Linked DNA regions of Caenorhabditis elegans. The protein of the gene in region 1 interacts with the protein of each later gene in a pairwise test. Each region holds a gene or a part of one and is shown on either strand. Other genes may lie near its edges. The genes, in order: Y77E11A.7, vhl-1 and trp-2.

The links.
Region 2: the proteins of Y77E11A.7 (region 1) and vhl-1 interact in a two-hybrid assay, tested with the Caenorhabditis elegans proteins (one large-scale study listed by BioGRID).
Region 3: the proteins of Y77E11A.7 (region 1) and trp-2 interact in a two-hybrid assay, tested with the Caenorhabditis elegans proteins (one large-scale study listed by BioGRID).

Annotation. Positions count from the first base shown.
Region 1 is NC_003282.8:1,413,097-1,424,949, reverse strand, and holds the start of Y77E11A.7 (Dynein heavy chain 1, axonemal), read left to right. Parts: upstream 1-5,104; coding exon 5,105-5,229; intron 5,230-5,377; coding exon 5,378-5,526; intron 5,527-6,270; coding exon 6,271-6,491; intron 6,492-6,865; coding exon 6,866-7,246; intron 7,247-9,040; coding exon 9,041-9,280; intron 9,281-9,638; exon of another isoform or gene 9,639-9,690; intron 9,691-10,528; coding exon 10,529-10,708; intron 10,709-11,736; coding exon 11,737-11,853. Other genes in the region: Y77E11A.8 (PAN-3 domain-containing protein), read left to right, coding at 503-730, 783-879, 928-998, 1,049-1,169, 1,231-1,349, 1,581-1,720, 1,768-1,855; jtr-1 (Protein JTB), read right to left, coding at 3,302-3,522, 3,635-3,778, 3,824-3,962.
Region 2 is NC_003284.9:11,302,011-11,312,058, reverse strand, and holds vhl-1 (von Hippel-Lindau tumor suppressor homolog), read right to left. Parts: upstream 4,704-10,048; 5' UTR 4,691-4,703; coding exon 4,553-4,690; intron 4,504-4,552; coding exon 4,308-4,503; intron 4,089-4,307; coding exon 3,898-4,088; 3' UTR 3,541-3,897; downstream 1-3,540. Other genes in the region: F08G12.5 (RING-type domain-containing protein), read left to right, coding at 1,837-1,893, 2,303-2,494, 2,796-2,945, 2,998-3,156; F08G12.1 (Rab-like protein 6), read left to right, coding at 6,186-6,315, 6,365-6,471, 6,562-6,711, 7,293-7,522, 7,573-7,690, 7,735-7,838, 7,896-8,030, 8,076-8,119 and 6 more. UniProt on the Caenorhabditis elegans protein: Involved in the response to variation in environmental oxygen levels by targeting the hypoxia-inducible transcription factor hif-1 for proteasomal degradation when oxygen levels are normal (around 20%).
Region 3 is NC_003281.10:987,045-998,425, reverse strand, and holds the start of trp-2 (Transient receptor ion channel domain-containing protein), read right to left. Parts: upstream 6,546-11,381; coding exon 6,334-6,545; intron 5,540-6,333; coding exon 5,467-5,539; intron 5,097-5,466; coding exon 4,998-5,096; intron 4,377-4,997; coding exon 4,032-4,376; intron 3,426-4,031; coding exon 3,243-3,425; intron 2,879-3,242; coding exon 2,789-2,878; intron 2,707-2,788; coding exon 2,562-2,706; intron 1,924-2,561; coding exon 1,792-1,923; intron 1,567-1,791; coding exon 1,427-1,566; intron 1,035-1,426; coding exon 845-1,034; intron 761-844; coding exon 673-760; intron 280-672; coding exon 154-279; intron 1-153. Other genes in the region: tbc-10 (Rab-GAP TBC domain-containing protein), read right to left, coding at 10,140-10,223, 10,905-11,174.

The DNA.
Region 1 (11,853 bases):
TAAGATTTTCAGTAAAAACCATAATTCGAGTTAGATTTAACCCTAAGCTTAAGTTAAAAAAAACCTAAGCTTAAGTCTAAGCCTAACCCTCTTAAAAAGTTACAAGAAGGTTTTTCCTTGCGCTTGGAGCGCAAACGAAAAGAAAAAGAGCTATTTAGACTTAGGGTGCCCAACTGGAATAAAACATTGGAAATCCCAATCCAACCAGCCTAAGGGCCCGAAAAAAATAAAATATTGGAAATCCTTATGACACACCGGCGGTATGGCGAGGCTTAAGCCTAAATATCCATATTTATCAAAATACATTTGAGCGAGGCGGTTGTAAGCTAACGCTCGCCACTGGCGCCAAGCCTAAGAACTTTAAGCCTATGGATAAGCCTATGCCTATGCCTATGTCTATGCCTAAACCAAAGTTTCCATAACAGATCTCCGACATGAAAATGATGCTAGTATGGGGAATACCCAACACCACCAACAACACGCAGGTGAACACTTCTCTAACATGGGATGGATGCTTAGCAGCCTGCTTTTACTCACCATACTGTGTGGTAATGCCCCCAGAACAAAACAAAATGATTCGACGTGTTACAATTACGACTATGACTATGTGGATTTCGTTAGTAGGACCACGTCGGCAAATGAGTCGGTGGTGGCGTTTAAAGTGAACAGTCTCAATGGAACATGTCCAACTGGCGCAATTCCGCCAACTTTTGATAATCAGAATGCAACGGTAAGTGATGTCCACTCAGCACGGTACATACATAGTGAATTTCCACTTGCAGGGTCATTTATATGTGAATGACTATCCACCATATTGGCCTTACCACACCGACTACACAATCTACGCAACACTCACCGGATGGAAGATTTCTTATAAAAGTTTTTAAACCTAAATGAGGATTTTAACTAACGTCTAAATAATTCCAGTGAACTACTCCTGCAATGGAAACTTTAACGGGCTACTGATCCATCCAGACGACAGAATGGTTTGTTTGAAGGTGAGATAGAAATTCAAACTTTCATTGAGAATGTTTTGTTTGAAAATCAGATATATCGAAACTCCAATACCGGATCATTCACATACAACGAAGCTGCCACTTCATGTGAATCAGCCGACAACGCACTATTAGCAGCTCCACTGTATCCGGAAGATCTCAAAAAGTTTTCAGGTAATATTTCCGAAAAAAGGTGCTGCACTTGTTTTTTCGGTGTTAAAGCTTTATTTTACAGAACTAGGAGAGGTTCAGCGTAATAAAACAGCTAATCGCAACATCTATGCCAGAATTGATGGAATTCGAACAAAAGCATGTCAATCAACTCCGCGTACACCTTATTGCATGTCTCCGAAGGTGAGGTATCAATTATGCAGTCTTGGATTAATTTTAGTCCAGTAGTTTCCAGTGGCCTGTGGCCTTAAATAGTCTCGCGCTGGCTTTCTGTCGGACCAGTCGTGCCTTAGTGGGAGTCTCCTGGAAAGCTATATATAGCTCCAAGAAGCTTCCGAATTCGCTATTCTGTATCACCCGTATTTTCTCTTTATTTAATCTTAACAGCTATGTAAAGCAAAACTATCGTTTCAGGGTTTCACATTCCTTAGCTCCGTTCCCACTTTCGAACATTACAATTGGGTGACCAACTCGTCCGCAATGGCAACCGCCAATGATAATTGTCTTGTGCTGGTTTTTAATGGGAACAATGCAGTGAAAGTGGATGTTAAATCGTAAATATTAAACCGAAACACCGTAAAAGACGTTAATCTTTTTTCAGATGCGAAGGCAACTTCAATCCCCTTCCAGCTCAACTATTTTTTTGCTCAAGTCCAGCATGGGTTTACAAAGTTTGGGATTATGACTGATTTTTGCTCTGAGCTGATGTATACTGATGAATGTATAGACTAATGTATATACATATGTATTTATGTAACCCCTGTATATATGTATACTACTCTTTTTTTTCACTAAAATCTAGTTTTTTGTTTTAAAATGTTTTCGGGAAGCCGTTTTCTTTAGTTAATAAATATCATTTACTATATATAAAGCGCTTATTCCGTGTGTCCATAGTTTGTAGTCTATGTAGTCTATAATAAAGGTATAGGATGTAACTGCCACTCACGCACACTGATCGATCTTATAAGGGTTTATTAAGTAAAGGGAACAGACGAATTGCATCGTCGAAACAGAGTAAACGAGAGAAGAGGGAAAACGACAAGTAACGGGTTAAAGAGTTAAGAAATGATCCTCAAATGAGCGTCCTCCTCTCCTTATATAGGCATTTCCGGGTTAAAGGCGCAGCCTTTAACGACGACGGGTCTCGACGCGACAATGCGACCAACGACATCTTGGCGGCGGTTTGAACTGGAGTTTCTCCTCCACACGAATTGTCCTCGCTGTAGAAATCGTTGTCCTTGACCGATTTCGTCCGTTCTTTCTGTAAATTATCAGAGAGAATTTACAGGCAAATAAATTAGTATTTATTTATGTAAAATGTGAAGTGAAAAGGGTGGGAATCCTTACACTATGTAGTCTGTGAAGTTTTGGCTTCTGGAAGGATAGTGAGTTGGGGTTAGTGTAGGGATATACATAGTTGGGGCTACTGTAGTGGTATAATAGTGGCACGGTAGGAGTACTGTAAGATTACGGTAGTTTCAGAAAAAGAGGTTTTCAGCTCCAGAAGTCGATTGCCTCGCCTGCATTTAGTTTTTCATTTAAAATCGAGACGCGACGCGCCGTGAATCTACCCCAGATATGGCCAAGCCAAAATGGCCTAGTTCGGCAAACTCTTCCATTTCAATTTATGAGGGAAGCCAGAAACCCGTGTTACACATTTTCCTGGAGTTTTGCTGACTTTCAAGAAAGTCGAGAAGTTTTCAGCCTATTCTAGAAAGTTGTAGAAGTTTCCAGGTTTTTCTAGGAAATTCTAGAAGTTTCTGGATCAATACTTCTTCAAAAGACAAAAACTCAATTTTCCCGAAAATCCTACAGTACCCCCTACCGTATTACTACAGTATCCCGACCATATCTCTCCACTAACCCTAAACAAATATCTCTTAAAAAGACAAAAACCCAATTTTTTCTAAACTACAGTAATACTACAGTACATTACCCCGAACGTGAAAGAAGCATTCAAGAAAATCGATGAATTTTTTTTTTTCGTAAAAAATTTTTTTTCAATAAATTCGCACCGTTTATTACACATTTCCCATGTTTTTTTCACATAAAAACCCGTTTAAAATCGCAACAAAAATCAATCAATCAATATATATATATATATATATATATCTACAAAAAAAATCGATAAAAATTTAGAAATGTTGAGGTAGTCGCATGTAGACCGCCCGTTCGAGTTGAGCCTTCCGCTGTGTCGTCGACAAGAAGCTCACGATGAGAATTGCGGCATTTACCACGTAGAACAGGTAAAACTCGTGGCGGCGGGATTGTTTTGGAGATGGACACGGGCGGAGCACAGTTGTCGACGATTTGGAGCAGTTTACACGATCGAAATAGCCGGTTTTTAGGCAATGACCTGGAAAAATAGGATAAATTTTTGATTTTCTGGTGAAAAAGTCGTTTTTTGCGGGTTTTTAAGGTAAAAATTGCGATTTTTCTGAATTTTTCCTAATTCTTTATCTCCCTACCAGCTTTAATAGCCTTAATCTCGAAATCCTTGCACGGTGCACACTGGGTGACCACTTCAAATGGCTCATGCTTCCAACATTCTTCCGCTGGATATTCCGTCACCACTTTTTCCAGTTTTCCGGTGGTTCCGCCGTGTTCCGTCTCTGAAAATTCAACTTTTTTTCCAAGTTTTTAGGTGGAAATCTTACTATAAAACGCTTTTTTCATCTCCATTTCGCTGTTCATCTCACTTTCCTCCGTGTACTCTTCGATGAAGAATACGAGAATCGAAAAACCGATTAGGGCGAGGACAAACGTGGAAATTTGCTTTGTACTGCAGTATTCCATCGTTTTTCTGCAAAAAAAAATGAGGGAAAATGAGTTATTTTGGCTTGAAATTGAGAAAGAAATTAATTAATTTCGTACTGTAATTTTTAAAGGTGCATAGAGGCAAATTCTGTGTTGGGTCTCGCAACGAAATACATTTATTTGCTGATTTTTGACAAAGTTTGAAACTTAACTGAAACTTGCGAGTTACGTTTGCCAAAAAATATGACAATGGGTTTCATTATTAGTATATAAACTTTTAATGAATTTCCGTACGAAAAATTGTTAATAAATGGCTTCAAAACCGTAAAAACTATTTTACTGTAAGTTTAAAGGTACATGAAGATTAACTTTTCAGCAGGTCTTGAAACGAAATACAAAAAACTCATTAAAATTTATTTTTCAACATTTTTTCTTGGTTTTTTTTTTCGGATAAAAAATTAATTTAAACCAATAATAAATATTTATAATTTGCAGAATTATAAAATTCTCCGTTACAATCTAACGTAAAAAAATTCATTTTTTGCTGGAAATTAACCAATAACTAGGAAAAAATCACAAAAATCCTCCTCAAAAACCGGAAATCCCCTTTAAAAAAAATCCACGACGCTCCGTAAATCGACACAGCCCTATCCACACAAACGCGCTCCAATCCCACCTTGCACACTCGAGACGCGGTTGCGCGTCGCGTGCGCGCGCGCTTCACTGCGTCTCCTCACTCACCGTGAACATCTGTGGCTGAGAAAACACAATTGATTCGGCCCCGTCCGTCGTCCCATTCCCGTCGAATTTTTGTATTCTTCGGCCACATTTTTTCTCACGGCCCCCGCGGCTCTTTTTATTTGAATTTTGTCGGAAATGCGTAGTTTTCTCAGGAAAATCAAGCGAAAATTGATTTTGAATCGAAAAAACCGAAAAATTCGATCGAAATTTGAATGTTTTCGAAAACAAATTCAAAATTTCAATTAAGCACCGTAAACTTTAAAGGCGCATGCTGTTTTTGCCACAACGGGTCTCGCCACGAAGGTGAAATTCACTGCTGTCCCTTTAAAGCGTACTGTAATTTATTTTTCGAAATTTTTTCTCAAATTTTGGGCAAATTTAGTCTTTTTTCTTTATTTTTCAGCGAAAAAACCATATTTTCAAACGATTTTTTTTCAGAAATGGAGACGAGAAAAGTTCGTACACCGTCCGCAAAGCTGCTCGCCGCCAAACAAGATGAAGTCTTCGAAAAAGTTATTCCTACAGCTCAACTCACACCGAAATCTACAATTTCTGCACAAATGGCGTGAGTAGACGAGAAAAATCCAAAAATATAAAAGAAAAATCAAAATTTTCAGCACTTTAGACCTATAAATAGTGAAAAAACCTTTAAAAATCTCGGGTTTCTATTCCAATTCTCCTAAAAATCTCTAAATTTGCTCGTTTTTTTTCAGAAAAGTCCCAGAATCCACGACACCAGAGCCACTTTCAGTCGACCAGGAGCGAGATATGACCCCAGGCGAGCACGAGCTCCAAGTTCACCAGAAACACCACCAAAGCCCGATTTTAGAGGAGGAAATCGATGTTTCCAACACTGAAATCGGTAAAAATTGGATTTTCTACATGAAAATGCGATTTTTACGCGGAAAAATTGGCGAAAATCCTCAATGATCAGGCAAAATTGGCGATTTTTAGGGGGAAAATACCAAAATTTACGATTTTGCTTTAAAAAAATCAGTTTTTAATCAAAAAATGTGTTTTTTCATTGGAAAAGTGCTGAAAAGTCGATTGTCGACTCTAAATTTGCAATTTCCCATTAAAACGTTCATTTTTTACCTAAAAAATGTAATTTTTTCACTTCAAAATTCTAAAATTTAACCTAAATGCTCGCGTTTTCAAGGAGAAACTGCCTAGAACTCAGGTTTTTACTTTAAAATTCAGTTTTCGGCTGAAAATCAGAAGCTACTACCGGAAAATGTTACAGTTTTCTATGAAATTTGTCTTAAAACTCGATTTTCATTTAAGAAACCAATTTTTCGCCAAAAAATTCTTTAAACCCCGGATTTTTACCTGAAAATGTTAATTTTCAAGCTAAAATCTCTTAAAAAATCAGATTTTCACTCAAAAAATCCCGAAAATTTTAATTTTCAAGCTAAAAACTCTAAAAATTCGAATTTCACTTCGAAAAAACCCAAAAAATCCAATTTTCAACCTAAAAATTCCCCAAAAAATTAAAATTTCATTTAGAAAATTCCCAAAAAATGTCATTTTTGAAGCTAAAACTTCCCGAAAAAGGCCAAATTTTAATTGAAAAACCCCTAAAATCTCAAAAATTCTCAATTTCCAGACGCGTCAGTGCTCGACGATCACATGGACACTCAAACAATGGAAATTGAAATGGAAATGGCTTTGAAACGCGAGAAAATCGACGCTCAAATGGTCTTAAACAGTGATTTTTCGGTTGCAAATGAGGTTACAATATCATCAATGAAATATCAAGGGCGTCCGACTCCGACTAGAAAGGTACCGTATCAAAATGAAGACGAACACCTCGTCACCACAATGCAGGTGATTTATCGCGGAAAATGGCATTTTTTCACCGAAAAAAACCCTGAAAAATGAGGATTTTTACTTGAAAAATCCTGTGAAAATGAGCAAAAACCACACCTAAAACGAGAATCCACTAAAAATGGCAAAGTAAAGTTTCAAATGCTCTGAAAACGATCAAAAATCGACCAGAAATAGCCGAAATTTCACAGAAAATTCACTGTAAAAAGCTGCTTAAAAAGAGCCAAAATAATGCCCTAAAATTCCGAAAACTCACTTTCAAATACCTGCGAAAAGCCTTCAGAAAGCGTCTAAAATCACAGAAAAAAAACCCCAATTTTTGCACAGAAATCCTCTAAAAAACCAGCAAAAACCGTCTCAAAAAAGTTTTGCAGCGTGTCGCCGCAGCCACCTCATTCACCGGAGAAACTCTCAATCTCAAATCTTCGGATCTCTCAATTCCCAACAAAGCTGCCCATTTCCTTTATTTCCGTTGCTACGAAGAACATGAAGTTCAGAAAGAATTCCCGTTGACAATCGATGAAACACGTAAAGGGCCTCAGAATTTCCTTGTTGAACCCCGTCACGGACTAAAAAATACCGATTATTATATTGATAGTTATTTGTGGAATCGTGGCAAATCGACGAGCTCGAAGAAGAAAATTTTTGTGGAAATAGAGGGAAATCATGTGAAAACGTCGAGAAGAACTGCCGAAACTGCACATTATGTGTTGAATTGGTATTATTCGAATATGGAGAATAGAATTTGCAAAAAGGTGCGGTGGAAATGCAGTTTTTAACCGAAAAATTTGAAAATTTCACACAAAAATTGACCTAAAATCGGGGTTTTTACCTAAAAAATAGCATTTTTCAGGCTAATGGCAAAAAAATGGATTTTTAACCGAAAAAAAAAAGGAAATTTCATTACAAAAATTACCTAAAGTCATATTTTTTACCGAAAAAAATGACATTTTTCATACTGAAATTACAAAAAAGGATTTTTCACCCAAAAATGGTTTTTTTTTTCATTCTAAAATTTCAAAAAGAATGAAGAAAAAAAATATACCGAAAATTGAATTTTTCACCCAAAAATGACATTTTTTTACTTCTAAATAAACAATAATCGGGATTTTTATGTGAAGAAATAGTTTTTGACCGGAAAAATTGAATTTTTCATCAAAAAATGACCTAAATCGAATTTTTACCCGAAAAATTACATTTTTCATGCTTTTAGAGTCGATATTCTTTGATTTTCATCACCGAATTCGATTTTGCCGCAAATTTTCACTTCTAAAATCGGTTTTCTGTGCTTCTAGCTCATGTTTCAGAATTTCCGGGTTACGGTAGCCCCGAAAGTACGCAAACACCGACTACAGTAACCCAAAACACCAGATTTCACGCAATTTTGAGCTACAGCTCTGAAAATTTACGTTGTAGTGGAAAAAAAATGCGGGGATTCCGAAAAATAACCGAAAAATTTGAAAATTTCACACCAAAATTGACCTAAAATCGGGGGTTTTTACTTAAAAAATAGCATTTTTCAGGCTAAAATGACAAAAAAAAGGATTTTTAACCGAAAAAATTGGAAATTTCATTACAAAAATTACCTAAAGTCATATTTTTAACCGAAAAAAATGACATGTTTCATTAAAAAAATATACCGAAAATTGATTGAATTTTTTGCCCAAAAATAGCATTTGTCATGCAAATATTATTCAAAATTCGGATTTTTTAGCCAAAAATTGATATTTTCGGAAAATGTGAAGTTTTCTTATGAAAATGACTCAAAATCGAATTTTTCACCCAAAAAACCACCTTTTTTTTGCCAAAATAGTTTACAAAACTGGATTTTAAGCCAAAAGCTCGGATTTTTACAAAAAAAATTAGAGATTTCTGCTGAAAATCGCTAGTTGTAAAATAATGCGGGAAATCCGAATTTCTTAATGAAAAATTTGCAATTTCAGCAGAATATCTAGAAATTCAATTTTTCAGTGTTCAAATTCGATATTCTTTGATTTTCATCACCGAATTCGATTTTCCTGCAAATTTTCACCTCTAACACTTTTTCTGCGGGATTCTAGTTCATTTTTCAGAACTTCCGAGTTACTGTAGCCCCAGAAGTACGCAAACACCGACTACCGTAACCCAGAAACACCCAATCTTACGCAATTTTGAGCTAGAGCTCTGAATATTCACTGCTAGAAGTAAAAAATAGCTGGAAATCCGAATTTCGTAGTGAAATCGCCGAGAAATGTGTTAAAACACGAGTTTTCCGCTGTTTTATTCGAAATTCTTGATTTTCATCACCGAATTCGATTTTCCTATCTATTTTTAGCTCTGAAATCGGTTGTCTGTGGTTCTAGCTCATTTTTCAAAATTTCCGGGTTACAGTAGCCCCAAAAGTACGCAATCACCGACTACAGTAACCCAATACACCGAATCTTACGCAATTTTGAGCTAGAACTCTGAAAATTTACAAGAAAGTGTAAAAAAATGCGGGGAATCCGAATTTCGTAGTGAAAAATCTCGAAAATTCCGAAATTTTGAAGAAATCTTAACAAATATCACAGCTTCAGGTGTGTTGGTTGGAGAGTCTTGTGGATAATAGTCGAGCATCACCTGTATTGGTACAGTATCACGTGAATTACCTATCGGATAACCCAATTGAGCTCCGAAAGACGCCCAAACTGTACAGTGACACACGTTCAGTGGCTCAGGAATTGCTGAGAAGTGATTCACCACTGCAAACTGTACAGAGATTTGTGGAAACGGGAGAAACCGATCCACGGGAGATTATCAATAAGAAACAGGTAAAAATTTGCGAAAAAATGTGAAAATCCGATAATTTCCATGTAAAAAATTGAAAAATTCACGAAAATCCGAAAATTTATGGAGTCAATTTTAAGTCAATTTTTTTTTGAGTCAATTTTTAACGATTTTTAGTCAATTTTTAACGATTTTTAGTCAATTTTTAACGATTTTTAGTCAATTTTTAACGATTTTTAGTCAATTTTTGACGTTTTTTAGTCAATTTTTGACGTTTTTTAGTCAATTTTTGACGATTTTTAGTCAATTTTTGACGATTTTTAGTCAAATTTTGACGATTTTTAGTCGATTTTTGACGATTCTAGTCAATTTTTGACGATTTTTAGTCGATTTTTGACGATTCTAGTCAATTTTTGACGATTTTAGTCAATTTTTGACGATTTTCAGTCAATTTCCCAGCCAAAAATTGAAAAATGCCATAATTTGTTTTTTTACACTGAAAATTCTTCAATTTATTCTCCTTTTTAAACACTTGTTTCCAATTTTTGAAGATTTTAACTGAAAAATTTAAAAATTGCTTTCAGACAAATATCACGATTTTTCAGGCTTGAAAAATGTCAAAATTTGAAGAATTTCATTGAAAATTTCCCAAAAAAAACTGATTTTAAAAAAGTCAAAAAATCAACAATTTTCGACGATTTTTAGCATATTTCTGAAAATTTTCACAGAAAATGCCACAGAAATTTTTCACCTAAAAATTCTTTAAAAAGCCCAATTTTAGACAATTTCAAGCCACTTTTCGACGATTTTCACAGAAAATGCTCTGAAAATTGCAATTTTAGACGATTTTCAGTCACGTTCCCAACTGAAAATTGGAAAAAAAAGTTAAAAATTTGACGATTTTATCCGAAAAACGTGAATTTAAAAAAACACGATTTTTCCATATTTTTCAACCAATTTTATACGATTTTTCACTGAATGAATTCGCTAAAAATTGCAAATTTTGAAGATTTTAAGCTAATTCTTACGAAACTAAAAATTTGGGCATTTTATTATATGGAAATTCTTCAAAAATTTTCAATTTTTCTAGATTTTCATTGAAAAAAGATGCGTTTTCCGATGAATTTTACACGATTTTTTAACTCTAAAACTCATTTTAAAGCCTGATTTAAAAAAAAACGTCGAAAAATAAACAATTTTCGACGATTTTTATCATTTTTTTTCCGAACTTTTCCACATTTTCAGCCCCATTTTTTCACCCGGAAATTCGCTAAAAATTCCCAGTTTTTCAGGCCTATGAAATGCGTCGATATGTGATGGCGAATGCCCGTAAACGTATGCATCGAAGAATGGACGACAATGGTGTCTATTATGACGATGAAATGTTTGAAGAAGTCTATTATAATGAGCCCGACTCGTTGCTCAATCCACCACGTCACAACGGCGGAGATGCGGCTAGAGTCGCTCAAATGGTACGAATTTCGACGGCGGAAAATTGAGCAAAATCGAATTCAGCTCGCCGAGAGCTTTCAAATGCGTATAATCATGACTAGGTTCCGGTGAATTTGAAATTTCTGGGTCTCGCCACGAAACGAGGTTACTGTAGTTTTCGTGATGGGACCTGGAAATTTCGAAAATATGCAGAATTGTCAGAACCCAGTCATGATTATACTTAAATCAAAGCTCTCGGCGAGCTGAACACAAATTCAGTAGTGAAAATTCAAAAAAAAGGTCCCGCCACGAAGGGTTACTGTGGTTTTCGTGTTGGGACCCAAAATTCTCGGAATTTTTCAAATTTTCACCAAACCTAGTCATGATTATACTTAAATCAAAGCTCTCGGTGAGCTGAACACGAATGTGAGATTGGAATTCAAAATTTTGTGAAAAAACTGGGTCTCGCAGCGATATTCTGATTTTCACCGAAAATTTTTAATATTTTTTCGCTCCGAGACCCAATAAATTTACATTTTAGGCTTTAGCCTGATTAAAGTTTGTCGAGAGCTGTTGATTCGCGTAGTTTTGGATTTTTTTGGGCCTCGCCACGAAATGGGTTACTGTAGTTTTCGTGGTGGGACCTGGAAATTTCGGAAAATTCGACATTTCACTAAACCCAGTCATGATTATACTTAAATCAAAGCTCTCGGCGAGCTGAACACAAATTCAGTAGTGAAAATTCAAAAAAAAGGTCCCGCCACGAAGGGTTACTGTGGTTTTCGTGGTGGGACCCAAAATTCTCGGAATTTTTCAAACTTTCACTAAACCTAGTCATGATTATACTTTAATCAGAGCTCTCAGTGAGCTGAACACGAGTATAGTAGTGAAAATTCGGAAAAAGGTCCCGCCACGAAGGGTTACTGTGGATTTCGTGGTGGGACCCAATTTTTTGCAGTTTCTCGAAATTTAACCAAACCTAGGCATGATTATACTTAAATCAAAGCTCTCGTTGAGCTAGACTCAAATTCCACAATAATTTCACACTCTAATCTTGAACATTTTCCAGGTTTGCCGCCAAATGGGTCGCCGCATCGAAAATCGCATAGCCTCAATGCTCGACAGTCGCCTAGGACCACCGAAAAATCACGCGGAAATGCTAACCGAATGGATGAATACCCTAATG
Region 2 (10,048 bases), on another chromosome or scaffold:
GTCAGGAATGGGCTAAACACATCTGGTCTGACGAAAGCAAGTTCAATTTGTTCGGGAGTGATGGAAATTCCTGGGTACGTCGTCCTGTTGGCTCTAGGTACTCTCCAAAGTATCAATGCCCAACCGTTAAGCATGGAGGTGGGAGCGTCATGGTGTGGGGGTGCTTCACCAGCACTTCCATGGGCCCACTAAGGAGAATCCAAAGCATTATGGATCGTTTTCAATACGAAAACATCTTGGAAACTACAATGCGACCCTGGGCACTTCAAAATGTGGGCCGTGGCTTCGTGTTTCAGCAGGATAACGATCCTAAGCATACTTCTCTTCATGTGCGTTCCTGGTTTCAACCTTGTCGTGTGCATTTGCTCGATTGGCCAAGTCAGTCTCCGGACTTGAATCCAATAGAGCATTTGTGGGAAGAGTTGGAAAGACGTCTTGGAGGTATTCGGGCTTCAAATGCAGATGCCAAATTCAACCAGTTGGAAAACGCTTGGAAAGCTATCCCCATGTCAGTTATTCACAAGCTGATCGACTCGATGCCACGTCGTTGTCTAGCTGTTATTGATGCAAACGGATACGCGACAAAGTATTAAGCATAATTATGTTGTTTTTAAATCCAATTGCTCATATTCCGGTACTTTAATTGTCATTTCCTTGCAACCTCGGTTTTTTCAATATTTCTAGTTTTTCGATTTTTTTGAATTTTTCTGAAGTTTTTTCAAAATCTGTTGAACATTTTTGATGAATATTGTGTTTTTAGATTTTGTGAACACTGTGGTGAAGTTTCAAAACAAAATAACCACTTAGAAAAAAGTTACACACAAAAAACCAAAAGTGGATATCTTTTTGGCCAGCACTGTAACACACATATATCTATATTTCTCATTTAACAGTGAAAAAGTGTTGTTCCTTGTTAGAAATGAATGCACTAAAGCTTAAATAGAAGGTAAAAATTAACAAATCTCACTCAAACTTCATCTATCTCTCCATACTTTATTTTTCAGCACACCTGCACCGCTATTGGTTTCATTGAAGAAAATTCGCAAAAGTGGATCAATGATTGTTACATTCTATCAAAATCTCCAATCAATTCTACTGGCTTTGATAATACAGTTGATATTTATGAAATTTGTGTTTGACAATGAAATACTACTCAAAAATGCGGTTAGAAAATGATGTCATGTCTGTGACTGTCAGTTTTATACATCAGAAGATAAAATAGAATCATTAAACAATGTTAAAATTAACATTTTATTTTTCGTTTTGAATTGATTTTGTTTGTATACACGTATATTTTGTACCCGTCTCTTCTCTGTTCCCGCACAAATATCAGGGTACAAAGAACATGTTGGAGTATAGAGAAAATAGAGAATTTTAGAGTACCACGGTGTACTTTTTTCTCTGTTCATTCTCTATCTTAATGAAACATGTTTTGGTCATTTAGTCCATTTTGTCTGTTAGTACGATTAATCTGTAGTTTTCCTCTTTTCTCCAATCATAAATGTTTTTCAAGTATCATTCGGACTAATTGTTTTTCCACTTCTTCACTTTTGTTGATCGTTCCAGTGATATTTTTCCTCGTCCTCTTCACTTGTTGTCTCTTGGTTGTTTTGTGTTCCCGGGTTGCCCCCGACTGACTTAATCGTAAGAGATCAACGCGCAAAAGAGACGCAGGCAACACATTCCCTTTCCACATCGATTTCGAGCCCGGTTGTGTCCTTTTATCGTTGCGTTAAAGTTTCTATTGGCCATTTTTATTACTTAATATTTCTGCTTCAGATTTATAGGGATGCTTTCAGGTAGTTAATTCTGATGAAGCAGAACGTGAAACAAAACATGTATGGATTTTTTCGCAGGTTTATTCCAAAGGATGATAAGAAAGCGGATAAAAAAGTGAGTTTTACATCAATTACAATTTTCAAAATTGAATATTTCTGAAGAAAAAAAAACACTTATTGAGTTTTTTAAGTGTAAAAATGTACAAATACTAATAATTTTTTTAAATTGAAGTTTGCGAACGGAAACACATACTTCACTATTATATTCAAAATTATGATAGCTCTCTTTCAAATCGTCACGTTACTTAAATTATTTGAATTCTTTCTTTCAATCAAAAAATACCCGGTTACTTGAAAATAGAAAGACAACCATTGTTTGTTTTTAGAATCCAATTTGAGACCGATTAGCAATCAGAAAAACTTTATTTAACAATTTTCGGGTCAGGTGAAAAACTCTATGGTTGAGCAGAGTTTCAATTTAATTTACTACAATAAAAAATTCGAGTTGAATATATGTATTTCAGCGGGTACTGAAATCCCTAGACGAGGCTGATGTATGCGTAGTTGATGTAGAAACATTACGATGCGCTGTCTGTCTCAACATATTTCAAGGAATCCCTCAAACGCTGACATGCGGTCATTCATTCTGTCATAGATGCATTGAAGAAGTGGCTCATTCGGAAGTGATGAATGATACAAGAGAACCAAACCGAAATGTAAGTTTTGTAAACCGTAATTGTAATTCCTCTATAAGCATGGTCTTGAGAAAAGGGTCTTTGGGTTCCGTGTTGTGTTAGTGAAGCGGTAAATGGGAAATTCAGTTTTGTGCGCACTTTTTACTTTTCAAAATTCGTTTTGTTAGATGGAATATCAATTGATTAATTCTAACAGGAACTCTTGGTCCGCAGACTTGTTTCTCGAGAACATTTCGGGACAAAGATTTTATGGAATATGTATTTTCAAAAAACCGTATGCAGATTTTAAGCTAATATAATAGGATTTCACTCTGTGTTTCAGTCGTTTCACTGCCCCATTTGCCGGAAGCGTGTCAGCATGAGCAAGGTTATCCAGAATTATACACTGAAAAACGTACTGGATAGTATTAACGAACTATCGAGAGAGGAGGAAAAATCAAGAAGAGCGTATGATAATACTTTGGATGCATCAGTGAGTTACATCAATAATAAAACAATATTTGCAAACAATTGATAAATTTTAGAATGAACAACTCCGCGTCAAATGCATTGATTTGGAACGAAAAGCAGATAGTCTAAAACGAGAAATCAACGAAATGCGCAGAAAGGAGTACTATAATTATGTTGCTATAACATTTTTCATTATTGTCTACATTATCCTGTCGACAATGTTTGGAAATTGAATTATTGTATAGCTATTCTAAGAATTTTAGAAGTATTTTCCTTTTTTTTAATTGTTGTTGTATAATACCTATTGAACCGGTTAGATGCTGATACTCATTACCTATGTCCAACTAGTTGTAAATAGGGGTCATCGAATTTCAAATTTTGTTCTAAGTTTTATGCGGTTAAAAATTATTATAATAAATAATGAATTGGATATTAAATTGGTAAAATGCAAATATTTTGAAAGAATATTCCATTTCGTGTTCCGCGTTCTTGTGAGAACAAACAAGCTTTGAATTGCTAAAATCAAAAACAATTGGTTTGAGTGATGATAACAAAAATATTGAAATTGCATGCGAAACTTCATGAATTCTAACGCTGGGAATTGAGCACTAAAATCTGAAATCAATTTATTTTCAGCAAAAAAGCCGTAAGCTGATTTTTCTGCTCTCCAATTTTTTCAATTGTAAATTGTTTGTTTTTGAAATTAGAAAGTCGTGTGTACCTTTGACCATATTAATTTTTCTTGTACTTCAGTCCGAATGTAACATGAAATATAATAAATTATCTTACAGAACATCATTTGCCAACATAACTTTTGCGCTTTTAAAATACTTTACCACAAATGCTAGCAAAAATTGTGACAAAAATGGTGAAAAAATCATTAACAGTATTCAATGCTACTTTTGAGAAAACGACCGTATGGGGAATGGAATTGCTTCTATCATGACAATTTTCGAAACTATATACAATTAGAATCATTGCTGAGGTCTCTGGGGTCCAGGAGGAGGAATTGAACGGCAGACTATTTCGGAATATTCTTGTTTTCTATCCAGAAAATGTTTGACTTCAAATTGTAGTTCTCGTGGAAGTCCTTTGATTTTGTTTGGAACTTCAGTTGGATTATGCCGTAAGAACGAACGTCCGGCAATTTCTCGTAAGGATTGAACTGAAAAAATATTAACAGTTAAAAGTGAGGTGCAAAGAGGAATTAATCGTTAGAAATGGGGAAACATGTGATTCGATTTATTCTGCATTATTACCACTCACTGAGTAAGTGACAACGAAATCGTAAAACTAACGTCGGAAAATTCAAGAAATTGATTATTTATTCAATTGTTTTCTTTTCCATTTTTCTATGTAACCTTTTAAAAATAAAAAAGCCTACCTTTCATTGTGATGACACAATGATTTCGAACAATCAAATTCATTCGAGGAGCTGGCTCCGGCCAGAATACTTCTTTTTCGTTTACCAATACTTTGCATCCATCAAAGGATCTCCTAGCAACCCATGGATGATCCTTGAAAGTTTTAATGTCTAAATACTTTTTTTGGGCAAGTGTTCCGTATTTTGTCGGTTGTTTCTGTAATTTAAGGATTTTATCTTTTTCGTTGTGTAAGAATTAAATTTACTGATGGATTCAGCCAAAACACGTCCACGGGGTAAGCACATCTGTTTAGGAAACGAACACGTATCTCTCGATTGTCATGTGTTGATGAGCCCAAGTCAGGAAATAACCTTCCATCATCATCCATCGAACCGTCTGACATTTTTCTTCTGAAAACCAATAAAAACATATTTTTCACATATCATAATGAATAATTAAACGTTTAAAGTAACACGAAAGGACCAGGTATTAATCAATAAAAAAGACGCTGTGAAAAAGAGGTGGACGGGTGTAGTGGACTGAGGGCCGAGACGGCTGGATTCTTAGTCCCCGGCCTTTTCTTGTTAGCTCTGCCACGAATACGATGTGTAGAACAACCTAAATTGATATTACCTCGACGCTTAATTATTATTTTGAAAATTTATTAATGTACTTCAACAATAATTGTAAAATGTTTTCTAACTTGATTTTATTTATTGATTGAAAACAGAAAATGATGTGTTCGTTGAGTTGTTTTTTTCAAATCTAATTTAGTTGCAATAATTTTGATAAATCTGAAACACAAGTTCCAATAATGTCTGATCAGAAACCAATTTTTTGTTGTCTTCACCGATTATTAGGTTTGGAACGACACAAAACGTTAAGTGCCAGCTCACCGAGGCATATAAACGAAAAGAGCCCTCCTGCAAAAAAGAGGCCTCCCTATTCATTCGGTGGCCACCACGTCTATCCTATTGCCTCCAGTGTATTGCTTGCCGTCGAACACTCTTCTCCGCACACTTCTTTTCTGCCTGAATATTGATTTAAGGGCGTTGCCTTGACCGTACTTTTTGTTTCAGGGATTAACATCAGTTGTGAAGAAAATCTAAGGGTTGCCAGACAATTAAGAAAATCTGTACGCCAGCTTGCAAAAAATCACACAAAAATCATTTTATAAATGAAAACTCCAATTGGATAAAACAAAGACAGTGCTCCGATTGACAGCGGTTTATGACACTTCAGTCCTGATGCAACGTGAGTTTTTGTTTAATTTGGAAAACAAATTATTTAAAATTTTAAAACACAGTCAAAAGTTTGTGTAAGAATACTTTTTAAAACTGACGGATTTTTTTTTTCAAAACGCCTAGTTTAATTTAAATTTCTTCGTTTAAAACAAAAAATTTTAAAAATAAAATGAGGAAAGTTGAATTACAGGACAGAACAAGATGGTCATGACATGGTAGAATAACAAATTCCATTTATCATTTGTTACTGATGATCTTCTGGTGATCCGTTGCGTCTAGGATTTGATTGGATTCAGCTTCAGTGTTGTAAATGAAATAAATACACAGGACCCGTCAAAAAGCTTTGAATAAAGTATGAATTCGTGTTTTTTCAGCGATACGCCAAATGGAACCCCGTTGTGTGAAGAAAACATAAAATTTTCGCTCAAAAAACGAAGTACGGATAATTCAATTTTTCCAATTTTTCCATTAATTCGTTCAATGTACCGATTACAAATAAAAACAATAAGAAATCTTATCTTTTTGTTGTCAATTTTTGATAAGACGTACTGTCTTTCCTCTTGTTTTATTTCAAGACAATAATACCTTTTTTGAATGTTATTTGAGCACTACTTGCACTTGCACCAAACAAATCTTCTTCAAAAAATTATTCAGATGTTCTCCGCAATACGAAAAAAATTGGGTGGTGACAAAGAAGAGAACAAGTCGACTGTTATGCCGTCAGGTGTACAACGAGTCGACGCGGAATTGCAGAGAAAATTCGCTCGAGGAGTACAGTACAACTGTTAGTTTTTTTTCCATTTCACCTGCTTCTGGTAATTAAATGTTTTTAGTGAAGATTGTAATTCGCGGAGACAGAAACGTCGGTAAAACTTGTCTATGGAAACGACTTCAAGGGCTTTCATTTCAAGAGGAATACGTGGCAACCGAAGAGATTCAAGTAAGATCTCGTATTTGCTTGGATATGGATACAGACTTTGCTTGCATCAAAAAATTCAAAATTTGAAAAATACTCAAAGTTTGATTCCAGGTAGCCAACATCAACTGGAACTATCGCGCAACGGATGACGTTGTCAAAGTTGATGTTTGGGATATTGTAGATCAATCCACTAAGAAAAGGGTCAAGGATGACAAGTTAAAATTGGCGAACAATGGGATGGATAAAAATGATGGTTTAGATGTAAGTCTTAAATTGAAAAACTTAAGAAATGCGTACAACTGAAAATAGTTTAAAGAAGAAATATCCTCAGCGAAGAATGGAAATCTTTGAAAGAATTTTCCGACAATGTTTGTACACTGGTAACGGAATAAGAAATCGTTTAAAAAATGCAAAGTGATATTGCAACAAACCGGTTACAGCGCATTTCACGAATAGTTCAGAAAACTCATCGATATGTAGAGTGTGGTATTTGACTTGCGTGGGAAATGATAGGTTGAAAACATAACAACATGATTTGTTAATGCGTATCAATCTTTCTGAGCTAATATTAAACTAGTTTCAGAATCAATGTCAGTGGTTTGAATGGACAAAAGGTTTAAAGTTAAACTAATTTAGAAACATCCAAAATGCCAAAAATTAGTTAAACTGGATTTTGCAAATTCATTTCAAGTAAATTACCGTTTCCACATCAAATGTTTGACATGGGTTCAAATCAAGAAACAAAAACTTAACAGCATGATAAATTTTTGATTTCAAACTAAAATTTCAACAAACACACTTTAATTTTATTGACAAAATCAGTAATATTCCACATATTTCAGTACGAGGACACAGCCTGCGATGCACGTTTTGTCGATGTTTACAAAGGAACAAATGGTGTCATTTTTGTATTTGATATTACAAAAACGTGGACATGGGAGTATGTACAAAAGGAGATTGTGAAAGTTCCGAACAAGATTCCTGTTCTTGTTCTGGCAAATCGTCGAGACATGGGTCATCACCGTCAAGTCACCGATCTACAGTGCTCGACATTTGTTGAGCTGTTCAATAGGTAAGATTTTCATTTTCAAAAATACAATTTATCTGAATTTTTGCTTTCAGTAGTCATCCTTCCCCAGATGGTTCTCCACGTGCTCGTTTTGCCCCGGCATCAATGCGATATGCATTTGGACTAAAATTCGTACATCACTTTTTCAACATCCCTTTCCTTTGCCTTCAGGTATTATTTTGTTTTTACTCAAGTTCTCACTAATGACGTTTCAGCGTGAATCATTAATCAGACAATTAGAAACGAATAAATCAGAAATTGTGTCTAGCTATCACGAGCTTGACTGCTATCAGGAGACCCCAGAGGCCGACTATGACACGTAAGCGCAGTCATGAATATTACGAAAAACTCTTAAAATAGAATTTGAATTTTTCAGTTTTATTGAACTTGTGAACCAGAAGAGAAGAGAGTATGCAGACAAAAAGAGTGAAATGGCAAGACAAGGTGCTGTACAAACGTCTGGAAGAGTCATGGGTGGCGGACAACCAATTCCAGGACAAAGGCTCACGCCGTGAGAAAAATAGGAACCTGAAATAATTACTTTAGAATATTTCAGACCGACGATTCCACGCGCGAATATAGATCAGTCAGAAAATAATGGTACGAATTTACATTTTGAGTGGAAAACTGTCACAGTAAAAAATCGGAAGTCTGTTTGTGAATCTCAGAAACAAATTTGAGCAAAAGTGTCACAACATTTTTAACGTGGTTTTCAAGAAATTGACAGCCTGTTGTGGATGAATGACATACGAATGCCGTGTTTATTTTTTCAATAATATATATTTTTTTAGCAACACAACCTGCATCTGAAACAACCCGTAAACACTCCTTCGAGATGGTTGGTGATGAAGATGAAGACGGTATCAACACCTTTTTAGGGGAAAAACAAGAAACAAAAAACCATGGAGTTACTAAACCCAAACAAAGCGAAAGTGATAGGTAATAGCTGGGTATGGATTATAATCATCAATTTAACTTTTTTTAGTGAGACTGAAAATAACATGGTTTGGAAGTTCGAAGAGGATTTCTCAGTTGACGATGAGTTGATGGAAAGAATGGCAAAAGCTGGAGAGCAGAGAAAAGTACAGTCGAATTTGAAGAAGTTGGCAGTACCCGAAACTGTGGAAAGAGAAGTGTCAACTCCAATCGGTTAGTTTTTATAGTCACGATGATTTGATGTTATTACTTCTTATAAGTGTTTGAATTTCATGTTTACAGCGTATCATGTTAAAGTCCATGACGATGACGTCGATTCGCCCGTTATTGAACAACCGCCAATTGCATCAGAGGTTCACTTATTTCGAGAGAGGAATTTTATAAACAAGAAACATTTACAGAGCTTTGAAAGTCCAAAATTCGAAGCACCACCACCACTTCCTACGAACAACCCCTTAACAGTTGCCATGACGTCAGACGATTTGGATGCTTGGCTTGGTTCTGATGACCAGTCACCAAAGTCAACTAATACGGTAAGAATTTTTAATGTAATATAAAAGCAATATATTTAAAACAAAAAATGTTAGTAATTTTTAGTGTACGTTCAGTAAATAAAATCTAATAACGTGCTCGACCTTTTGTCATTCAATAAAAAAACTAAATTTCCATTTTAAATTCGAAGATTGGCAGTGAACAATTGTATCATAATTTTCAAAATAATTATAGTGTAGCAATTTTTCAGAAAATAAAACAGGCATCTTAAAAACCGGCTTTGACCGTTCGGTTATTTTTGTGAATACTAAATCATTTTCCTGTTTTTTTTTTGAAATTTTACTCCGTTTGTATTTGATATCATACCATATCCATCGAATCTTTAAAGCATTGTTTCAGGTGCCTGAGCAACACAACAGCAGCGACGAAGAATTCGGAGTGGAACTTCCGGAACCTATAACAAAGCCAACATTGGACATTTTCGCACCTATTTCCGACGATAAACCATCATCGGAGTCTAGAACACCGGTGAATTTGGATGATTCTTTGGAAGAAATCGATAAAATCGTACGTTTACTTTCACATGAAAAAAGTTAAATGTTCATTTACAGGAAAAAATCACGAAAAAGAAAAAGACCAAAAAAAGTACGAAAAAGGTGAAGGCAGAGGAGGAAGCTGAGCAGGAAGAAAAATTGACAAAGAAATCCAAGAAAACTCCAAAAAAGAAGGCTGCCGAAAAAACATCCCAATCTCTTCTCGAAGACTTTTTAGGTCCTGCCGATGATAACGTTGCCAGTGGCGGCTATGATCCACTTTAAGCAAATTGGCTACTGAAAACTTATATCAATCACTAACTCGGTCAGGCATTTTATCAAGTTTTGCCAAATCATTGCCAAGGTGCAGCTCGATAATATGTTTTTTGTTTTCCAATACGCAAGTTTCACAAAAAGCTTAAATCATTTTTATTTTATGGTTAGAGCTCTTGGAAAAGAAACAGAAAATGTAATTAAAGTTTATTATTATTTATTATGCCCTTACTTGAATGAAGAATGTAAAAAAATGTGTCGAGAATAAATTATTAAAATCAAATGACAAATGATA
Region 3 (11,381 bases), on another chromosome or scaffold:
GGAGTTTTCGCGGCAGGACCCGACATTTTCGCAGAAAATTAGAAACTAGCCATGATTATACTTTTCTGAAAACTCACAGTTTCCTGAATTGGAAAATTAACATTTACAGTTGAGTTATCTAAAATTAAAAAAAATTCAGCCAAAAATCCAAACCTCGAGCAGGATTTGTACTTGTCGTCACACGATTCCTTCAAGTGCTCATACTTGTAGCTCAATGACTTTTCGTTTTTGTACTGCTCATATAAATTACACTCGTTTTGGCGCATTGAGGCGTAGTACCTGGAAATTAAAAAATTTTTGAGAAAACATTATTAAAAAATAAAATAAAAGTTTCGAAAATTTTTTTTTCGAAAAATTCAAAACCTTTATTTTTCATATTTATCAAATTTTAATACTTTTGTTGGCTTCAGCTGACTGAGAGCTTTCGAAAGACACCTCACATGCCTATGCTCCGGCGGTTTTGAGCTACGCACAGCTGAAACCACAGCAACCGTACCCCGCGTGGCGAGACCCAAATTCTAAAAATCGTTGGATTCTAGGCATGATGGGAGTCATTTTAAAGCTCTAAGTGTGCAAAATTCAAATTTCTTGCTGAAATGTGTTGAAAACCGGTTTTGGAAAAAAAAATCGTACAAAAACAATTTTTGCAAAAAAAAAAGCTTTTTCTCTCACCACAGCAGTTGATTGAGCCCACATGCAAATGCGAATAGTACCAGTGCGTAGACCATAAAAAATTTCACAATATCGATTACCATACGGCCTGAAAAGTTAGACTTTTTTGAAAAAAAAAAATTTTCAAAAAAACATTTCAAAGTTTTTTTTTTCCAAAATTTTTCCAACTCACCCAAAGAAATTTTAAGTGGTCCCAAGTGTGGGCTCACTGTAAAAATGTGCACCAATTTCAGTGAGGAGAAAATATTCGCAGTGGCAAAAAAGCACTCGCTGAGCAGTGTGGGGTCCCAGGCATCCCAGTCGCGGCGGGGCAGGTGACGAGCGATGTGCACCGAGTTGGCTCGCAGAGCTTCTTGTTCTACCTGAAAATGGTAATTTATTTGATTTTGAAGTATTTTTGTGACATCTGAGAAAATTAAACATTTTTTGAAAAATTGTAAAAAAAATTTTTTTAATTAAAAACTTAAATTTTTGAAAATTCATAACTTTCTCAGTTTTGGAGATTTTCCGATCATTTTAGACTTAAAAAATTAGACTTAGACTTCAGCTTAATTTTTGCAGAGCATTTTGAATTTTGTAGAAAAAATTCGAAAAACCTAATTTCTCATCGAGTTACAGTGACTTTTCGCAACAGGACCCAGAATTTTTTTTTGGAAAATTGATAACTTTTTCAATTTTAGAGTTTTTCAAATAATTTTTTTGTGACAATTATACACACTGCAGACTACAAACTACAAACTACAAACTACAATACCTGAACATAGGCGACCACACGTAGGGCGGTGGTGCAAAGGTACAAGGAATTTGTGATAAAATCCAAAATATTCCACAAATTTCGGCAATAATTGTAGAGACCGCACTCCCACAGTTGCTTGATTTCAACCCATATTAATCCTGAAAAAGTTAAGAATCGATAAAAAATCGATAATTAAATTCCTAAAAATCAATAATCCAAAAAAAAATTTTCGAAAAAAAAACCAATAATCCAAAAAAATTTTTGAAAAAATCGATAACCAATTTTTCTTGAAAATTTTTTCAAAAAAAAAACAAAAGAAAAATCGAAAAATTTAATTTATAAAAAATCGATAATCAATATCCCAAAAATTCCCAAATTCTCACCTAAAACCCATAAAAATATAGCGCATTCGATTATGGTGGGCGGGGGTCCACGTGTCTCCTTGCGATCCACGTCATCAGTGCGTAGGATGTTGTCGATGACGTTCATACGTTGACTTGCCATGATAAGGAGTACTGTAATTTGGGGTACTGTAGCTTTTTTGGGTTTTTTTTGAAAACCTCAAATTTCTCTGTCATTTCTTAACTTTTGTAGAAAATTTTATCTTGGTTGAAATCAGCTTACTGAGAGTTTTCAGAAAAGTACCATCATGCCCGGGTTCCGCCAGCTTTGAAAATTTGGGTCCCGCCACGCGGGGTACTGTAGCACTGGCTTCAGCTGTGCCGGAACTCAAAAGCAACGGAATATAGGCATGATGGGGGTCATTTTGAAGCAATTGGCAGGAAGATTTCAAATTTGAAAATAGTTATTAATAAAGTTTGAAATTTAAAAAAAGATTTTTCAAAAAAAAATTTTTTTTCGGAAATTTTCGAAAATCGATAACTTTGTTCATTTTCGAGATTTTCTGCTAATTTATGTTCTAGAAAATGTGAAAATGTATGCTTGCCATAGGAAAAATATAAAATTTCAAATCTCCCTCCTAGTTACTGTACCCAAGAGGTTTTCGTGGCGGGACCCAAAAACAGAAAAAAAAAGTTTGAAAATAGCTGGAACCTAGGCATGCTTATACTTTTCTGAAAGCTCGCAACTCACTGAATTTAAATTTTAAAGTCTTCTCACAAAATAAACAAAATTTTCCCGAAAAACCACCCACTCAGAAAGAAAATATAGCTTCCAGAGTGCGAAAGGAACTTGATGAATGGCTTCTTGGCGAATTGTCCCATTGAGGAGTGCGGAGCAAGTAAGTAGACAAGTGAGAATAACGGAAAACTGAGCATTCCGAGAATGTAGAAAATTAGCTGAAAAAAGTTTAATTTGGAAAAAAATTTTTTTTTGGAATTAAAAAAAAATTTCGAAGAATTTTTCCTTAAAATTTCTCACCTTATATATAAAGTTAGTACATCTCACTGACTCAACACCTTCATACCAGATATCCAGAAGCAGCTGCTGACAGTTAGGATGGGCGACGAACTGGAAGTTAGAAAATTATCAAAAAAAAAAAATTTGAATTTTTTCCAATTTTTCTCTGAAATGTCTCGTAAACCGGTAAAAATGTTAATATTCGAATTAAACACAATGAGAGCTTTAAAATGACCCCCATCATGCCTATATTCCGTGGAATTTGAATATTTGGGTCTCGCCACGCGGGGTACGGTAGCTAGGGTTTCAGCTGTGTCGAAACTCAAAATTGAAGAAACATAGGCATGATGGGTGTCATTTTGAAGCTCTCAACAAAGCGAACTTAGTAAAATAAAAATTAAATATTTTCATGCAAGTTTCAGAAAAAAAAATTCTGAAAAAAAATAAAATTAATTTTATTTCAAATTTCACCAACCCTTTTCTGCGATAACTGTATTGCCAGCTTCAACCTTGCCAATTTTTCTGGATTTCCATAATTTGCTGACGTCACATCGTGCCACGCATTTGTAGTGTGATTGAGCACCACCTCCAGTTCCTTGGAGCCCCGCACCTGGTCCAACATGTGAACGCAGAATTTTTGGCACTTTTGGGAGAGCTCCTGGAGTTTAATTTTAGATTTGAGCAAATATTAATTTAAAATTTGAATTAAGCACTATGAGAGCTTTCAGAAAAGTATATTCATGCCTAGGTTCTGCATGTTTTCAGAAATTTTTTAAAAGTTTTGGGTCCCACCACGAAAACTCTTGGGGTACTGTATCTAGTACGAAAAATGTTTTTGGTAGTATTTTTATCACAAAATCTAGAAAATCTCTTTCAATTTACACTAAACTGCGGAAAATGCACAAAACTGGCGGAGTTAGCGATTTTTAAATTTTAGAAAAAAATTTTTTTTTTGAATTTTAAAAAATTTTCAAAAATTCATAACCTTGTTAGTTTTGAAGATTTTTAGCTAATTTTTCGAGAAAAAAAATAGACGGAAGCTTAAGTTTTATGGGAAAAATGCAAAAAATGACACAAAAACAGTATCTCACTATTTTTGAGACTAAAAAAAATTGAAAAAAAAAACTCAAAAAAAAAATTTTTTTTTGGTTTTTTCCCAAAATTTTAGAAAAGTTTCCAACTGAAACCTATACTAATTTAAGCTTTTCTGAAAGCTCTTCTTATGCTCTATCCTATTAAAAAACTGTTTCCCCTCCCAACTCACCTCATAATCTGTGCGGAACTCATTTTCAATAAAACTCAACCGCTTGAGCTCCCAGCTCAGCTCGAAAGCGTACAAAATCGGGTCTCGAGCGGAAAGACAGATGAGCGACGGGCTTGTAAGTGCTCTATAGGCATTTATCCGTGACCTAGAAAGTCGCAGAGAATCCTCTTCCCTTGCCACGTAGCACTCGGGGCAGGAGCATCTGACGTCATGGGGGTGGGGTACCGTACCCTTCTTGTCCAAAAACAGCTTTATGCACTCGTAATTGTCTTTGTGAGCTGCTAACACTATTGGTGTGATGTCTGGAGTAAATGCTGAGTGCTCTGTGATCTCCACTCCTTGGCGCTGAAATTTCAGAAAATTTCAAATTTTCAAAAAAAAATGTTTTTTTTTTGAAAGTACAATTTTTAACCAATTTTTTGAACTTTTAACAAAAATGTTATAATATTTGCACTGGGCTAACTGAGAGCTTTCAAATGACCCCCATCATGTCCAGGTTCCGCCAACTTTGAAATTTTGGGTCCCGCCACGCGGGTTACGGTAGCTATGTTTCAGCTGTGTCAAGACATGAAAATGGCGTAAACTAGGCATGATGGGGGTCATTTTGAAGCTTAAAATGTGAAAAATTCAAAATTTCAATTTGAGAGATTTTCTAAAAAAAACATTTTGTGAAAATTAAAAAAAAATTTTTTTTCGAAAATTCGTACCTTTTTCAGTTTTCGGTTAATTTTCCTGAAACCTATCTCAAAATTAACCCAGTTATCTGAATTTGTTATAAAAGTTAATCCAAAATGAAAAGTTCGCTTCCTACAGTACCCCGAGACTTTTTCCCGACGGGACCCAATTTTTTTCCCGAAAAATTAAAAATTCTCAGAACCCAGTCATGATTATACTTTTCTGAAAGCTCTCAGTGCGCTGAAACTAAATTTTACGTTAAATTTCATATAAAAAATTCGAAAAAAGTACCTCCGAGTCAAATTTGTCCATTTTTTCCAGGTGCTCCACTATGATCTCCACCGCCTCCACGTTTTCCTCTCCAATTGCGTAGAGAATTGCGTCGCCGGTCTGAAATTGTAAAATTTTTGGAAATTAAACAAAAAATGAGTTAAAAATTTAGATTTTCGAAGTAGAACAATTTTTTTGAAAAAAAAAACATTTAAATCTGTGAAAAACAATTTTTTTTTGCCCAGATTTTCAATTTGGCTTCTGTTGCAGAAATTGTTTTTGTGACATACAATAATAAATTTCAAAACAAATAATTAAGGGCTTCGAAAAAAATTCAAAAAAAAATTCCAAAAAAAAAATTCCAAAAAAAAAATTCCAAATAAAATTTTCAAAAAAAAATTTTTTTTTCCAGAATTTCTCACTTTAGGCTTATTTTTCGAGCACATTTTAAAAATGCTTTTTTTCTTTAAAAAAGTGTGCAAAACGAAACCTCAATATTGTGGTCCAATAGTAACTCGATCATCTCGATGTTCTCGTTTTCAATTGCGATGAGAAGCGCGTTTCTGCAACCGGGAGGGGGAATAAGATATAAACCGGAACTCGCGGAGCCCGTAAAAATTCAAGTGTACTATGCTATAAAATATATTTTATTCGGGGAAAGAAAAGTTTAAAAAATGTTGAAAAAAAATTTTTCAAAAATTTATTAGTTTCAAAATTTTCTCGAAAAAATATTAGAGCTATTGCATTTTATTTATAAAACTCGAATTTACAACGCTTTCAGCTTTTAAATGACCCCCATCATGCCTAAGTTTCGTCAATTTTGAAATTTTCGGGTTTCGCGACGCGGGGTACTGTAGCTCTGATTTCAGCTGTGTCGGAACTTAAAATTGACGTAAACAAGGCATGTTGGATGTAATTTGAAAGCTTTTTGTATCGTAAATGCAAATAAATATATGAGAAAATTTAAAAAGTTCGAGAAAATTTTCCTCAAAAAACAAAAATTTTTTCTTTTTTCCTCAAATTTTGCAAAATTTTCCATTTTTCAAGCTAATTTCAAAAAATTTAAATTATCGACGTTTTCAGCTTTTAAATGACCCCCATCATGCCTTAGTTTAATCAATTTTGAAAGTTTTGGGTCTCGCCACGCGGGGTAGTATAGCTATGGTTTCAGCTGTGTCGAATTTCAAAATTGACAAATCATAGGCATGATGAGGCTTATTTGAAAGCTCTCGGGGTGCTGAATTCAAATTTTTATTTTCAAGAAAGAAATTGTAGAAATTGTAAAGAAATTTGCAACATTTCGAAAAAAAAAATTTTTTTTCAAAAATTTAATTTTTTCAAACTTTATCAAACCTACCTGCCAAGCGGATCCAAACAATTTATATTAAAAGTTTCCGTTGAAATTCCAGCCAAAAGCTTCCTAACACTCCCAATATCTCCCCGCTCGCAGGAGAGCAGGAACTGCTTCTCGCGGAGCCGCGAGTTGTCCGACTCGGTCCACGTGACATTGTTGCTGACGTCATCGTCATCTTCAATCATCCGAAACTCGGATGCTTCTGATGATGTCATTTTGGCTGGAAAATGGAAGGGTTTAGGGAAAATTTGCGATGTTTTGGGACGAAATTTGAAAAAAATTAAAAAACAAAGAAATTCCGAATTTTTTTAAAATTTACCGCTAAAATTAAGGGCATCAGAAAACCACGTATTTTATGAAAAAATTTTAAAATTGGAGGGAATTACAAAAAAAAAAGAAAAAGTGTCATAAAATATCTGAAATCTGACACTTTTTAGAGCACAATATTTTTATTTTCTCCAGATCGCCTGACGGAAAAATGTATTTTAGTTAGGGACGTTTTTGATTTGAAAAATATTTCAAAAAGATAATACACTAAAATTTAATACTGAAAAAATTGTATTAAATTTTTTTTGGATAACATTTTTTAAATAACATTTTTTTTCAATCCTCCAAAATTTTTTTAACCGATTTTCAAATCTTTAAAGAAGTTTATTTATTAATTTCAGAACGACAATAGCTTCAAAATGACCCCCATATTGCCTATACTCCTTTGATTTCGAGAATTTGGGTCCCGCCACGCGGGGTACTGTAGCTGTGGTTTCAGCTGTGTCGGAGCTTAAAATTGACGGAAACTAGGCATGATGGGTGTCATTTTGAAGCTAAAATAAAAAAGTTCAAAAACTGATACGGAAAAAAACCTACAATTAAGTGGGTGTTTAAAAAATATTCAAAAAATATTCAAAAAAAAAATTTTTGAAGAAATTTATATTTTCTCCACAATTTATTAATTTTTGGTTTTTTTTTTAAATTTGAATTTATATTATTTACATTTGTGATATCGAGTGCTTTAAAATAACCCCCAATACGCCTATATTCCATCGATTTTTATAATTTGGGTCTCACCACGATGGGTACTGTAGCTGTGGTTTCAACTGTGTCGGAACTCAAAATTAACGGGAACTAGGCATGATGGGTGTTATTTTGAAGCCAGGAAAATGAGAAATTCGAAAAATAGGGAATAAAGCTGCAAAAATACGAATTAAAAAAATTTGCAGCAAAACATTTTAAAAAAATTTTTAATAAATTTTCGACACAATTTTTTTTCTAAAAACCCTATTACTAAAACCAGAAAACACTTTAAGCTTCACAAGCTCCGCCGAGAGCATAATAATGCGCGTTTTAAAACACACATCTCTCTCCCGGAGACGCTCATAATTTTTGCGCTTTTTCCATCACTTTTCCGCAAAGTTTAACAGCAATTATGTGTAGTTTTTGACTTTGACAGGAAAAATTGTTGGAAATAATTGAAATGAGATCAAAAAGTTATTAAAAGTTATTAAAAAATTGTTGAATTTTTTTGTCCTATTTTTTTCCGAAAAAAAAAAGATTTTTCCAAAAATTCTTTAAAAAATTAAGTTTATAAAAATGAGATTATAAAAATCAAGTTAAGATTTTTTCTAGCTTTCAAATGACCCCCATCATGCCTGGGTTCCGTTAGTTTTAAAATTTTGGGTCTCGCCACGCGTGGTACGGTAGCTCTGATTTCAGCTGTGTCGGAACCCAAAGTGATCGGAAAATAGGCATGATGGGGGTCATTTTGAAGCTGAAAATGTAAGGAAGTCAAAAATTTTTATGAAAATGCTCACTATCAGGAACCAACACTTCACACAAAGTTTTCAAAAAACGATTTTTCAGAAAAAAACAAAAAGAAAAGATTTTTCCCCAATTTTTTAAAAATTGTTTAATTTTCTAGATTTGAAACTAAAATTTCTATGATTAGGACATTGTAAGCTTTCAAATGACCCCCAACAAGCCTATATTCCGTCAATTTAAAAAATTTTGGGTCTCGCCACGCGGGGTACGGTAGCTATGCTTTCAGCTGTGTCGGAACTCAAAATTGACGGAATATATAAGCTGAAAATGTAAGAAATTCAAAAAATTTCCCAGGACTCCAAGACTCTTCCATAAAACCAAATAATGAAAAATGTTTCATTAGGAGGGGTCTTAAGCCATCATGATTGGGGGACGACGATGGGATTCTGGAGCAAAAAGGGGGTGAAAAAGAACAAAAATTGAGAAATAGACGAGAGCAGCACAGGAGCAGCAGCAGCTTGTGCTCCACGGAGCTAAAGAAGAGATAACAGAATTTCGCACATCTTCCCCCCTCCCCATTTTTTGGCTTAAGCTTCAGGAGGATGGGAGGGGGGAAACGCGAAATAAATTGAATTTCAAAAAAGTGTGTGGCGCATACATACACACATATTCAACAAAAATGAAGTATTCCCGCGCGCGCGAAAAAATGTTCTGAAATTTTTTTTTCGGAGAAAAAATTTTGGAATTTTTTTTTTTTGCGAAAAGCTCAAAATTTCAAAACTTCGGTAATTTTTCGAGTTTTGAGCTAAATTTTGGGCGAAAAAACTTGATGAACCTTCAATTCTGCTCCAAAACCCTCAAATGTTTTCGGAAAAAAAGTAGCTTCAGTAATCCAGGAGTTTTCGTGGCGGGACCCAAAACTACAAAAATCTGAGAAAATGGCCGGAGCCTAGGCATGTTGGGGGTCATTAGAGGTCTTAATGTGATCAGCCTGAATAAGTTGTTTAAAATAGGTTTGTGACAGTTTTTGAATTTTTACGATTTTTAGAAAAATTTTCGAAAACCATTTTTTTTGTGAAAAATTCCAAATTTCAAAAAATGAGTTAATTTCTCCAGTTTTGAGCCTATTTTTTGCTTGAAAACATTCAATAAATCTTCAATTTTGTCCCAAAACCTTCAAATCTTTCAGAACAAAGGCAGCTACAGTAGTCCAGGAGTTTTCGTGGCGGGACCCCAAAATATGCAAAAACTGGGGAAAGGAAACTGGCCGGAGCCTAGGCATGTCGGGGGTCAGCGGAAACGTCTTAATGTGACAAATTTGAATAAACCAATCAAATATGATTTCTAGTTCTTTTGGAATTATTACGATTTTTATATAAATTTTGGAAAAAAAATGTTTGCAAAAAATTCAATTTTCAAATTCATGCGAGATTTTCAGTTATTTTTATGCCGAAAAAAATTGTAAAGCGTATATTATTCAATGGTGAAAATGTTAAGTTTTTTTACAAAATGCTAGCTACAGTAATCCACAAGTTTTCGTGGCGGGACCCCAAAATATGCAAAAACTGGGGAAAATGGGCGGAGCCTAGGCATGTTGGGGGTCATTGGAAAGGTCGCAGTGTGATAAATTCAAATAAATTAATTTCAGGTTGTTTTTGAGTTTTTTATGATTTTTCGAAAAAAAATCTCGAAAAAAAATTTCAAAATTTTTTTCAATTTTCCATTTTTTTTTTCCAACAAAGTAATATAATCCCATGAAACCAACATTTGAATTTTTTAGGGTTTCAAAACTATCTCCTCATCAAAAACGGCTTCACCATAGTCCCACCGCAAGGCTTCTCCCTATCAAAAAAAATTCCAAAATGTTTTTTTGCAAAAAAAAAAAAACCAAAATCACAGGGAAATTTTATTTTGGCTGTTCTGAGGTATATGGCAAGATGCGAAAGCACACAAAAAACGTGGAATTTTTGATGGAAACAACAAAAAAGTGAGTGTTGAAAAATCAATAAAAAAATCAATAATCGATAAATATAACAACAGGGGGCGGGGAGGGGTCAGTCAAATCTCATTTGTCGGGTTTTCATGGCTCCAAAATGAAGTTTTTCCATATCCGCGTCGTTTAGATTGGTTTCGGAGATCTTAAAAATATTTCAAATATTCAACAAAAAAATTCGAAAAAATTTTTCTTTCAAAATTTTAATTATTTTGTTGCTAAAACTAGGATTTTTTCAGGGTTTTAAGTATGAAATTCGAGTTCAGCACCTTAAAATTGCCCTAACCCGCAAGTTTCCGGTCATTTGGAGCCAATGTCGTAGGATCTGGTGTGTTGGGGTACGGTAGCCGGTGGTTGCGTACTCTTGGGGCTACAGTACCCCTCCAAACTTCAAAATGAAGATAGAAAGCTCTACTAAAATAATTTTAGCATGAAATTTTGCGTAGAAATCGAATTTCACAATATTTATTTTGCTATTTTATTTTGAACGTACATTATATTTGTTTTCTGAAAAAAATTCGGTTTCTGAAAGTGTGGCTAATTTGTTTTTATTATTTTCATGTAAAAATTCGAACTCAGCATAGTAAAATCACCCCAACCCAAAATTTTCAGCTTATTTGAAGCCAATATCGTGAGATCTGATGTATTGGGGTTCTGTAGTCGGTGTTTGCGTACTCTTGGGGCTACAGTACCCCTCAAAACTTCAAAATTAAGCTAGAAATATCTACTAAAAAGATTCTAGACTGAAATTTTGCGTAGAACTCGAATTTGACGCTGCATTTTTATGAAAATTCGCCCAATTCTCCAAAAATCAAAATTTTCCCACCTTTTGCACCAAGAACTCTTCCTCCATAATTTCTACAGGTAAATTCCGTAACCGGGTCACAATTGCAGGCATATCGGGGTACTGTTTAATCTGTGACGGCGTCCCAATTCCGAATTTCAGTAGCACCAGCGCCACTTTGAACAGAATCTTGACGCCCTCGCACAGGAACATGTCCCATACGCGGAGTACTGTAGGCCAGGGTAGTGTTCGGCAAAAGCAGCACATAAACCACTCGATCATGTATAACGCTGGGTCGACTCCGTTGGCTTTCTGCAAGAAAAAAACATCGATAATCGGCAAATCTGTACAAAAAAATTTTGAGCGAAATTTTTTCACATTTTTCTAGACTAAAAACGTTTCAAAACTTCAAGTTAATGTGAAATTCAAGTTCAACGCAAAATTTGGGTTTTAAAACTTTTGAGAAGAAGTTTCTAGCTTAATTTTAAAATTTCCAGGGGTACTGTAGCCCCAAAAGTA